3 linked regions of the Ovis aries genome follow. The protein of the gene in region 1 purifies or fractionates together with the protein of each later gene. This does not show direct contact. Links are inferred from orthologs where the notes say so. Each region holds a gene or a part of one and is shown on either strand. Other genes may lie near its edges. The genes, in order: MMS19, PRIM1 and PRIM2.

What was found.
Region 2: the proteins of MMS19 (region 1) and PRIM1 purify together in Homo sapiens (affinity purification with western blotting; 3 studies listed by BioGRID and IntAct, with this or other methods). This does not show direct contact. The link is inferred for Ovis aries from reciprocal best matches to the Homo sapiens genes MMS19 and PRIM1.
Region 3: the proteins of MMS19 (region 1) and PRIM2 purify together in Homo sapiens (affinity purification with western blotting; 5 studies listed by BioGRID and IntAct, with this or other methods). This does not show direct contact. The link is inferred for Ovis aries from reciprocal best matches to the Homo sapiens genes MMS19 and PRIM2.

What each region holds. Positions count from the first base shown.
Region 1 is NC_056075.1:18,508,989-18,512,634, forward strand, and holds part of MMS19 (MMS19 nucleotide excision repair protein homolog), read right to left. Parts: coding exon 3,632-3,646; intron 3,222-3,631; coding exon 3,144-3,221; intron 2,484-3,143; coding exon 2,345-2,483; intron 2,103-2,344; coding exon 1,948-2,102; intron 1,691-1,947; coding exon 1,612-1,690; intron 1,204-1,611; coding exon 1,078-1,203; intron 885-1,077; coding exon 803-884; intron 493-802; coding exon 392-492; intron 269-391; coding exon 119-268; intron 1-118. UniProt on the Homo sapiens protein: Key component of the cytosolic iron-sulfur protein assembly (CIA) complex, a multiprotein complex that mediates the incorporation of iron-sulfur cluster into apoproteins specifically involved in DNA metabolism and genomic integrity.
Region 2 is NC_056056.1:162,928,729-162,932,374, reverse strand, and holds part of PRIM1 (DNA primase small subunit), read right to left. Parts: intron 2,751-3,646; coding exon 2,681-2,750; intron 2,274-2,680; coding exon 2,188-2,273; intron 1-2,187. UniProt on the Homo sapiens protein: Catalytic subunit of the DNA primase complex and component of the DNA polymerase alpha complex (also known as the alpha DNA polymerase-primase complex - primosome/replisome) which play an essential role in the initiation of DNA synthesis.
Region 3 is NC_056073.1:3,042,167-3,046,545, reverse strand, and holds the start of PRIM2 (DNA primase large subunit), read left to right. Parts: upstream 1-1,463; 5' UTR 1,464-1,596; intron 1,597-2,206; 5' UTR 2,207-2,215; coding exon 2,216-2,369; intron 2,370-4,274; coding exon 4,275-4,378; intron 4,379-4,379. UniProt on the Homo sapiens protein: Regulatory subunit of the DNA primase complex and component of the DNA polymerase alpha complex (also known as the alpha DNA polymerase-primase complex) which play an essential role in the initiation of DNA synthesis.

The sequences.
Region 1 (3,646 bases):
TCCTATGTGATTCTTGCTAGAGCCATCACTGGAACCACTGTTTTAGACACATCAACTCCAAAGCTGACTGCAGCTCCCTCTCCAGCCCAGCTCCTCAGTGACTGTTTCCTGTAGTCACCTCTGTTCATCTGGCACAGATGCTGCAGCAGAAGAGGCAGCGTCTCCTTGACGATGCTGGGATGTGTGGATACAGCTGATAAGGCTTGCAGACAGCGTGGATGTTGGGAGCACCTGGTGGGCCCATCCCCTCTAGCCAAATCTGACTCCTCTGAAAAGCAACCCAGGAGATCAGATTTCACTGTGTGATGGCAAGCATGCAGGAAGCCCCTCCACCCCCGCCCCACCAACTTCCCTGGGAAGGAGCAAGCCACAGAAGCTCAGAGACACGTACCTGAACACAGATCCTCAGCAAGCTTGGGCACTAGGTGGCTGCTGAAGGCCACGGGGTAGAGAGTGGCCAGGCTTCCTGATGCCTCCAGTGCTGCCACCCTGCTGGGGCACAGGGCAGGTGAGCATTAGCTGAGCTGGCTCCGTGGCTCTCTTGCCTAGGCCTCCCATTCGGCAGATTCAGGAGCGTGGGCTTCTGAGACCACCTTTCTAAAAAAGCAGGATTCGAGTACCTATACCACTAAGTTGGACAGGGCTTCTTAATGCCCCCCAAAAGAGAACATTCCCACAACAATCGCTCCAACCAGTTAGCAGCCAGAGCCAAGCACAGACTCCATGTCCTCTGGGAAAGCCAAGGGTCAGGAGCACAGCGGCCTGGAATAGCTGGCTCTATCTTGCTGTCTTATATTCTCACCAACTCTGGGAATCCTCCTCCAGGAAGCTCAGTCTGTACAGGTGACCCACTGCTAGCTCCAAATCCCCAGAAGACAGGAGATCTGTATTAGAAGGAGACATAAACCTCATCTTTCTTCCCCAGCAGCCACCACCATCCTTCCCAAAATCCTATTAGAAATCCCAAATCATACAGAATTGTGAGAACCAGGGAATAAAGACTGCTCTTTATTTAAGACAGAAAACCACAGGAAAGGGACCAAAAGCTCCGATCTTTTCTCTTTCCCTTAAGTGTACCTGGCTGAGCACCCAACACTGTGAGTGTGCGAATGCCAACAAGCTGAAGCTGGGTGTTGGGGTCTGCCAGGGCCATGAACATCAGTGAGCACAGCTGGTCCTTGAAGCCACTCAGAGGTCTTTCATCTAGGGAGAAACAGAGTCCAGGTTAGAGGGAAACCTCATTCAGCACCGATACAAAGATAACTAGGGGCAGATTTTTTTTTTTTGGCTGTGCAACATGGAACATGGGATCTTAGTTCCCCAACCAGGCATCAAACCAATGCCCCCTGCAGAGGAAGCATGGAATCCTAACCACTGGACCAGGGAACTGCTGGGACAGATTTAAAGAATTTAATCCATTGGATATCCAGGAAGTACACTAGGAAAAAAAATGAACAGGGCTCATTTCTTAAGTGTTCTCTTGTGCTACAACTTGAGAACAACAGGTCGGCTGTTCTAGGCTCCTTCTCTATAGCACTCCCGGCCTGCCCTCATTTACAGGGCTGCAGCGCTCAGCACCCCCAGGACAGCACATCTAGAAGGCAGCCTCACCCTTGTCTTCATAGCTCCATTTCTGCTGCAGCTTCAGGAAACCCAGGATCATTTCAAGGATTGTCCTCCGCTGGTTGCTCTGTAACGTTTTAAGGGGTTATGGGGGTCAAAGACTACCTTTTAATGGATTTCAGTCTTGCTACTATGGAAGTGGGGAGAATTATCGTTGTACGTAAGAGTGTGAAGAAGAGAGTGAACAAGGGAACCAGCAGCAGCTAATGGGAGCAAAACCCAAGATCTGCTATATCTAGGCCCAAGCACAACATAGCTTTCTCTATGAGAGCGCCATGCTAGCCCAGGGTCCCATCACTTCCTAAAGAGATTCTGCCTCCTTACCTGGCTGTGCTTGTGGAACTGTTCCAGCAGCAGAGGCAGCACGTTGCTGGTGATGTGGTCGCAGGCCCGGGCAGATGCACCTGCAGCCGCCTGCAGCAGTTTGGCGCTAGGCCACACCAGTTTCATGTCCGGTTCACACAGATGGTGCCTGCAGTCTAGAAAGGCAGCACATCACAGACCTGGGGAGTAGGCTGAATGCTGCCCGGTTCCCCTGCAGGTCATAGAAGCTGGAGGCTCAGCCCCAGGACTAGCAGTTATCACTTAAATTTCTTTCAATTCAAAGCAGGGCTCCAGTATGCAAATCACTGAACTTGGGGGCACTCGTGAAAGGTCACTGGCCTTAAGGAATTTCCCTCTGTTGTGTGCTCTCCCCTTTCTAGCTGCCATGCCCCATTACCCTGTAGAATGTTGCTAAGGAAGGAGTCAAGGAGGTCCTCAGCATCGGCCCTCAGCACAGAGCGAGACAAACACGCAGTCAGGGAGTTGAGGGCCGCCAGGCCCTCGGCCTCTACCCGCTCACTTGCCGTCTGGAACACCTGTCAGGGAGGGATCCCATGGCTACTGAGGTGAGCCTGCACCAGGTGAGACCCTACCCACCTGCTGCCTATTTCCTTTTGGGGAGAGGGTGGTGAGAACCTTTAGGACACAACAATGGAAATTAACCCCTCACATGAATTTCATCTCAACTGATGCATTCTCACTAGGTCCTTAGTACCGCTAGGATATTGATACACATAGTTCTTTTTTTTCCTTTTCAATTCTGATTATGCTGCACAGCATGTGGGTGATGTTTCCCGATGAGGGACTGAACCCATGCCCCCTGCACTGAGAGCATGGAGTCCTAATCACTGGATCGCCAGGGACGTCCCCACGTACTTTTTGAGAAACTGAATACCGACCTTGAGTGGTGGTTGTTGGGATCCCTTTCCCCAAGTCTGTTCCTCTCCCCCTCTACTCAGAGTGACCTATGCCCTTTACCAAGGAAAGACAGGAAGTGGGCACTATGGGAGACTGATCATGTCATCAGGAAGCAGCTGGCCCTACCCATTTCATTCAACTAAAGTATGCCCCTTGGCTCTCCTGCTGAATAACCAGGCACAGCAACAGAGGGAAAAGGACAGGGTGTGTTATCTCCCCTCATGCCTGACCTGACAACTAGGAGTTAAGAGTAGTCAGTTTATCTAAGTGACACTCACCTCTCTGCGGATAGAAGCCCAGAGGCTGGGAAGGAAGTCCTTTAGTTCTTTCTGTCCGTACACGGCACAGCAAGCATTCTGCCAGGGAAAGCAGAGGTTAACGGCAGTCTATACTCTTAGGCTTCCTGGGACGTGCAGCCCCCTCAGCATAATGGCACCTGAAAGAGGCGGCTCTCAGCAGTAAAACCAGCAGGGTTTCATAACCATCCTACCCAGATCACTGAAAAGCAGGATCTCGCCCCAACTGATGAAAACAAGCATGAAGAGGGAGCCCTGGTCAGCCTTTCCTCAGCTGCCACTCTGTTACTACAGAACAGGGCAAAACGCAGCTGCGGGCTGTAGGTCAACCTACAGGCTGAGACCCTGGGTATCCCTCTCCTGACGCCCAGGGAACAGCTCCCCGGCTCTCTAAGAATCAGTCCATAATCCTGTAGCATTGCTAAATTGTCTAAAGACAGCTGGGTCCTCAAAACAGAAGAATCACTCACCAGAGTCTGCAGAGA
Region 2 (3,646 bases), on another chromosome or scaffold:
TAGTAACAGAAGACAACATATAATTAAAGGCCAAACAGGCATACGGATAATTTTGTGTCCAAAGAACTGACCAATCACAGTTGACTGAGGTAGCTATGAACTGGGTCTTAGAAAAAAGATTTAATTAGATAGTCAGTGAGGAAGGTAGAGAACATACCAGTATTTGGGAAGCAGAAAGGAAGGAACAAATGGTACTAATATGAAAATGGACAAAAGTTTAGAATCATAGAAATTAAAGAAATAATAAGAACTTATATATATCACCTATGCCAGCCTCCCACCTCATCTAAAGCATCCCTGACTTACTCACGGCTAATAGCCTGTATGAATACTTGAAAGAGCAGTTTATTTCCGAACAGATATTTATTATAAAGCTTCTCCTTATAGGGAGCCAAAACTTGCTTTCTTAAAACCTCTGAATAAAATAAAAAGATGTCCACAAAGAGATACTATTAAATTTATTATTCTTTTATTATTAAATTTAAAAAGTTGTGTTAAAAGTAATTTGCTAAAAAAAAAAAAAGTAAAATAGTATTAACAGGTTTTTGTGGAAAAAAATAGCAGCTCCCTGCTAACCTTTCCATCTTCTTGAATGGCAACTACTTTTTTCTTTTCTAGCACTTACTTCTAAAAATGAATACTTCCATTTTTACTTAGAAATTTAAGGCCATTCTTCCTAGGTCCATGGCTTTTTTGTGGGGAGGGACTGTAGGAAGGGGTCTGAAAGCTCTTAAGATCTTCTCTTAATTCTGTTAAATTTCAAAACGATGTGCCTTGGTGTAGGCATATCATTCTCATTATGCTGAGCCCTTTTAACAAAGGGCTCATTTCTGGGATGTTTTCATATATAATTTTGGCAATTTTTTCCCTCCCTATTTTATTTGTTCTTTTTCTGTCAGATATTAGACCTCCTGAATCAGTCTTTAATTTTATCTTTTTCCTCCTTAAAAAACATAACTAACTTGTCTTTTTTTTTTTTTTTTCACTACTTTCTAGGAAGTCTCCTCTTTTCTTTTCCAGCCCTTCCAGTGAAAGTTTTATTCTAACGATTATGTTTTTGATTTCTAAGACCTCTTTCTTATTCTGAATGTTTTTTTCCCCATAGCATTCTGGTCTTGCTTCATGGATACACTGTCTTCTCTTAATCTCTGAGGAGATCAGTTTTTTTAAAAAAAGGTTTCCTCTGTTCCTTGCATTGTTTATTTTCCCTGAGTTCTTTTTTTTTCCAGTTTATTATTTTCCAGTTTATTTGTTAGAGACTTTTGTCCATTATTTTAAACAGAATGCTTGTAATCATTCTATAAATATTGATGGAGGAATGTACCTTGTTTATGTTAGAGCTGAAATATATGAAGTGACATTTGAGCTTGGATTCTGAAAGCAAGGTAGCAACATTTGACTAAAAAGATCAATCAGAGATCTGTTCTGCCCATTACAGTAGTCACGAGTCACATGAGGCTATTTAAATTAAATGAAGCTAAAAATTCAGTTTCTCACATTTCAAGTTCTCAAAAGTCATGTATAAAGGCTAGTGATTACCATTTGGACAGTGCATGACATTTTCATCATAGAAAGTAGTGTTGAACTATTGCTATAGTGTCTCTTGGGTATTGGTATAAGATTTGACTTTCACTAACTCAGGGAGATGGTGATGAACAGGGAGGCCTGGCGTGCTGCAATTCATGGGGTCGCAAAGAGTCGGACACGACTGAGCGACTGAACTGAACTGAACAGGCCGTTTTATATTCCCATCTCTTTCAAATTATTGGATATACAATTCAGTTACAGTTTAGACATATATTTAACATAACACTCATCTGGATACAAAAATAAGTAGAGAACGAAATACTGCATACATGGTAGTTGTTAAGTAGATAGTTATTGAATCTAAGACTGTGAGATTCAAACAACTGTCAAAATCAATTGACAATTTAATCTTTCAGTATAGATCCTGGCATTAAATGTTATTTTGTAAATATCTGTAGACTCACATTGGATTCAACAGCACCATTTGGGCAACTGATGAAGGAGAGAAACATTGTGATCATATTATTTGCTACTGAGCTGGTTTCAGGATAAATAATGATCCATTCTGGTCTGAATCCAAGGCAAATTAATTACTGAGTCACAGAAAGACGTCAATATAAAAAGATTATGTTAAAGTGAGACTTCAATATACTAACCTACCTCTGGTTCTGTGTTTAATATCAGATTCAGCTCCATTCTCTTTTTCTTCTTTAGTAGAAATAACATCCAACTCATGGCAAATGGAACTACAAATAATAGAAGATAATTTAAAAGTTGATTCTTGGTCAATATTACCCAGTGTATGAAAGCACATGAATCTCACAAGATTTTCTGTGAAAAAAATGTGGCCAAATGAATTTGGGATATTCTAAACATCATACTCTCTTTCTGGAGTTTTCCATGCATGTTAGCATATTAAAGACTAGGAAATTTTGCTTAAGTCAACACTTCTCAAACTTATTTGAACTTTTTTTTTTTGCATAATAGTAGCTGAAAAATTTGTGTTCTGTAGAACTCACGAGGAAATGCTCTTCTGGAAGGGCACCATCATACAGCCTCAGAGAAGCTGCCTCTCCAGAAGGGATCTAATCCAATTTACTTCACATTTACAAGTCACAAACAAAAAAGGAGTGATCAGTGATCTGGAACATACCTTATGGTTGGAACAGTAAATGGATCAAACTGATCCACTTTCTGTAAGTCAATAGGCACAGAAATGCGACCTGTGAAAAACAAAAAATTATAAGCTGAATATTGTACAATACAAATAATTATAGGCTGTGTCCTATGAGTTATTTTTGGCTAAAACTTTAAGGCTTAGAAAGAGGGTTACACTAATCTGTTAAGAATATTTATTTAGAAATATAAAAGTACTTTCGGGACTTCCCTGGAGGTCCAATGGTTAAGACTCCACACTTCCGATGCAGGGGGTATGATTCTCTTCCTGCCTAGGGAACTAAGATCCCACATGCCATGTGGCCAAAAAGTTTCAAAAAATACATAAACAGAATAAAATTGGGTCTTAAAAAAAAGTACTTTCATATTAGTGCCTTTTATTTCTCTAAAAACACCAAAAAATAGATGTGAAAGACTGCTGAGCTATTACCTAGTTGCTCTTATATCCATTTTGATTTCTGTTTTTCTCTTCCCTATATCCTCCAATATGTACGTACGGAACAATCTCAAATTTAGTGAGTCCTGAAGATGGAACACAAAATAGATGGAAGTAGTTTACTTCATTACTTTAATTTGCTGAAATCAAAACAGACACCTATGTGTTGAGCATCTTTGGAAATAATATAAATGACATATTACCCTTTTACAAAATCCACATCTGGGACATGAGGATAAAATTCATATCTGAAAAATGAGATAATGAATTTAAAGAATGGCAGGTGACTAACAAAATAATTAAGGAAATTGAGAGTTACGGGTAGAAGGCAGAGTGAAAAGACTATAGCCATTTAATGGGAAAAAGATATAATAAAAATGTATACTTACGAGTGAATGTAATTAGTTACTCAAATCTTGAATATTAAATAAGGGGAATACTCACTGAAGCTTTAGAATATTAAGAGAAACATTAAGAAACATTAAGCTTGTTACCAAAATAAACTAA
Region 3 (4,379 bases), on another chromosome or scaffold:
TCCGACTCTTTGTGACCCCATGGACTGCAGAATACCAGGCCTCTCTGTCCATCACCAGCTCCCGGAGCTTGCTCAAACTCATGTCCATCGAGTCGGTGATGCCACCCAACCTCTGTCGTCCCCTTCTCCTCCCGCCTTCAATCTTTCCCAGCATCAGGGTCTTTTCAAATGAGCCTTTTAAATGGGTTATGGCAATACAATGAACTGACATGTAAGTCCCTCAGAACACGTTCTGGTACAAGGTCAGGGTCAACCCCTGTTTGGCCCAGGCTAGGCAGATGCTCTGAAGCTTGACACTGTTTCAGCTCAGTCTGCATTTCCGAAACCTTGAACGTCTTGACGGCTCCTCCCCTCCTACCTTGACAGGGACTTCTAGAGGCCTCTTTTGTGAGCGAGACCCGCCACCTGGCGGCCTCAGTTCTGAAACGCTGCCGCGCACAGTGGGGGCCGTCGCCTCCCGCGCCTCCCGCGCCTCCCGCGGCCTCGCCGGTCACCGTCCGGCGCCCCGCGGTCTCCTTCCGCAGACGCCGAGCGTTCCTGAGTGCGCACGCGCAAGGCGTGCGTCCCGGCTGGACCGAGGTCCCCCTGCGGACCCTCGCCGCGCACCGAGAGTGCGGAAGGGGCTCGCCGACCAGGAGAAAAGCGGGCTGACCCGCGGTACGCAGGCCGCCTAGCCGCCGCCTCTGTGAGCGGTGAGCCGGGCCTCCCGCTCGCCGGGCTCTCTGAGATTATCACCCAGGGTCCCAGTCTGGAGCCGGTGCTGACCCGGCGCCGACAGCTCAGACCCACGCACACGTAGTGCAGCAGTGAGAGTGACAGTCGCTCCGTCGTGTGCGACTCTTTGCGAACCCACGGACTACACAGGCCATGGGATTCTCCAGGCCAGAACACTGGAGTGAGAAGCTTATCCCTTCTCCGTGGACCTTCTCGACCCAGGGATCGAACCCTAGTATCCTGCATTGCAGGCGGATTCTTTACCAGCTGAGCCACAAGGGAAGCCCAAAATCATCTGGCAGCGGTGGGATTCGAACCCCGACCCCTACAGCCGCTGCTGCCAAGTCGCTTCAGTCATGTCCGACTCTGTGCGACCCTATAGACGGCAGCCCACCAGGCTCCCCCGTCCCTGGGATTCTCCAGGCAAGAACACTGGAGTGGGTTGCCATTTCCTTCTCCAAAGCATGAAAGTGAAGTCGTGTCCGACTCTTAGCGACCCCATGGACTGAAGTCTACCAGGCCCCTCCGTCCATGGGATTCCCCAGGCAAGAGTACTGGAGTGGGGTGCACTGCCTTTTCCAGACCCCTAGAGACTGGATCTTTAATCCAGCGCTTTATCACGGCCACGATACATAGTGCAATACCTACGACAGAAATCCAGAGACCGCCCCACCCAGAGGGCCCCACTGAGCATGCGCAAGCCTGGGCTGGGCGGGCTTGGGGGAGAGGGCGGGCTCCGCGGTCCAGCCATTTCCGCTTCCGGTCCCGTTCGAACTCTCCCGCCACCTGAGGAAAGCTGTTGTCGTGTTTATCTGTGTTTGGTGTAGTTGCAGGTGAGAGGAGCCGCCGGGGTTTGCGAAGAACAGTAACCCTGGGGTTGAGGTGTGCGAGCCTGGAGAATGGGGAGAGCGGCGGGCGCGGGGGGCGCGAGTCCGTCCTGGTTGCTTGTCTAGGCGGAGGCGGGTGCCGGGGCTGACAGACCGCGTTGGCTGAGGGACCGCGGAGGCGGCGTGTCACTCGGCGCCGCTGGACGCTCCGGAGAAGAGCTCCGACGTGCGGCGCCTCGGAGACAGCCGTCAGTTTTCAGGGGTTGTCAGGGAAGAAGCCCACCGAGTCGCGTTCCTAGCCTGAAGCTCCCGCGCTTTCCTCCGAGTTCGGGGTCGCAGCCCTCGGGCAGTCTCAGCCTGACCCTGGAGAGCTCAGAGCCTTCAAGGCGGAGCGCGCAGACGCCTGGAGAACCGCCCGCGTCCCCTGCTGTGGACGTTGCGGGAAGTCACGACCGCTGCCCGCGTCTCCGCAGGGCTCACCTCTCCCCACCGCCTGTGTACCGCGGTTCCAGCGGTGTTGTCGAAGGTCTGGAAGACAGGGACACGACTCAACATGTTGTGCGTGCTCTTCAGAATCAGTTGCCAGGCAGAATGTTTTCCTTTGTGTGTGGAGTTATTTTTTGTTTTTAACTCCATTTCCCACCGTTTTTTGTGCTTGCTTCCAGGGTAACAAGATGGAGTTTTCTGGAGGAAAACGGAGGAAACTGAGGTTGGCAGATGACCAGAGGAATGCTTGCTACCCACATAGCCTTCAGTTTTACTTGCAGCCACCTTCTGGAAACGTATCTTTGACAGAATTTGAAACGTTGGCTATCGATAGAGTTAAATGTGAGTGATTTGAATTTGAATTTTTGTATTCCTGAGAACCTCACTTATACCTTGTAGAGATAAATTAGAGTAATTTATTTCCTTCTTTAATATTTGCTCAGGTTTTTCGTTGAGATTTTGCTGTTCATTCATTTTTTCCATGTACTGTGCATATTTATTGAGTGCCACTTTATTCTAGGCGGTAGGGATTTTGAGCTGAGTAATGAAATTGTCATCTTTGTTGAAGCTGTATTCTAATACATGGAGACAGATGTCCAAAGCAGTAATTATAGTTTAGTATTTTAAGTGCTCTAGTAGAGGTGTTATTGAAACAGATGGGAATGATTGACCTAATCTGATTAAGTGAAACTTCTTAAGAAAAGTTGAAATGTGACCTGGATCTTGAAGCACGAGTAGCAGTTTCTCAATAGAGAGGAAGGGAGCGGTTTTTGCAAGCTGAGCTAATGGTCTGAAGGAAGAGTTGGAAGCACCAGAGAGCGTGAAACACTGGAGGGAAAGGTGGCAAGTTCAGGGTGGGTGGAGAGCTGTGGGTAACCAAGGGTGTTTTGTACCACGCTAATGCTGTGATGGCATCACCGACTCGATGGACGTGAGTTTGAGTGAACTCCGGGAGTTGGTGATGGCCAGGGAGGCCTGGCGCGCTGCGAGGGCGTGCTGTGATTCATGGGGTCGCAAGAGTCGGACACGACTGAGCGACTGAACTGAACTGAATGCTGTGATAAGTGTAAGAAGGATGTAGCGATTTTCTTGAGCCTGCTTGTCTTCTCTGTGTTGGTGGAAGAAAGAAAGAAGTTCGGTGTCAACTGCAACAATAGCACTGCCTGCAGAGTTTATGTTCCAAAGCATATCCTGATGGGGAGATCAGAAGTAGAAGTGAGATACTGTTAGTCATTCTTAGAAGAGCTGGGTGAGAATTGCTAGTACAGAGTACCTGTATTATCTGTTTGCTGAATAAAAGAGTAAAGGGCAGGGAGAATGGGTTCTGGGAAGCTTAGCATGGGTTCTGCGATGCCTCATAGAGGTTAAGTGGTTGAAAAGGGTCCCTTCAGTTTGGCCCTGGAGGTGAGATGGTGAGGCAGGGACAGGAAGGGAGACATGGAAGGGATACCAAGGAGGTGTAAGTGACAGGGTTTGATGACTGCTTGGGTGTGAGGAACAGGGGATCAGGTGAGGAGGGCTGAAGTTCCAGGGTGGCTGATCTCGTGGGTAGAAATGCTGCTGTTAGAGGTGGGTGGCAGGAAGAGGAGCAGGATTGAGGGGCAGAGAATGAGTTTGGTTTGGGAGACCATAATACGGAGTCCCTGCTGGACATGGCCTCAGGATTCATTTCAGAAGTTTTTCATTCTCAAATTAATCTCTCTTTTCTCACCAATGGAAGAAGAATTCATCCGAGGAAGAGTTGACAGGGGCTTCAGGAGCCTTTGGACAGAGCGAAGCATCTAGTCAGAGTGGCTTGTTTGCTGCTTTACTGCTGTGTCTTCTTCTCTGCTTCATCAGGAAGGGGCTGGCTATCTTCCGAAGAGTCTGTGCTGAGTTGGTGAAGCACCCGCCTCACAACCGGCTCAGCACGAGGGCTGGATGCGCACGCTGACACACTTGTGCATCCCTCAGCAGTGATGCTCAGTACATCATGATTGTCCCCATCCCTCTCTCCCTTCCAGTTGAGAATCCCTGGTATGAGGTTATGCTGTGGGATGTGGTTATTTTCTGCATATGGTTGGAGGTTATTCTCTTATAAACATATATAACATGTAATGTGCTTGCAGAAAATGAAGCTTAAGTATTGTTATAAAAAGTAATTATGGAATTGCTATCCATAGATTTGTCTTAGATTTAGTTTTTTAAGATTACCTTGCATTTATACATTTCCCCCCACCTTTCTTCTGTTTTTCAAATTTTTTCTAGTGCTAAAAACAGTTGAGAATCTTGGTGTGAGCTACATGAAGGGAACTGAACAGTATCAGAGTAAGCTGGAGGCTGAGCTTCGGAAGCTCAAATTTTCCTACAGAG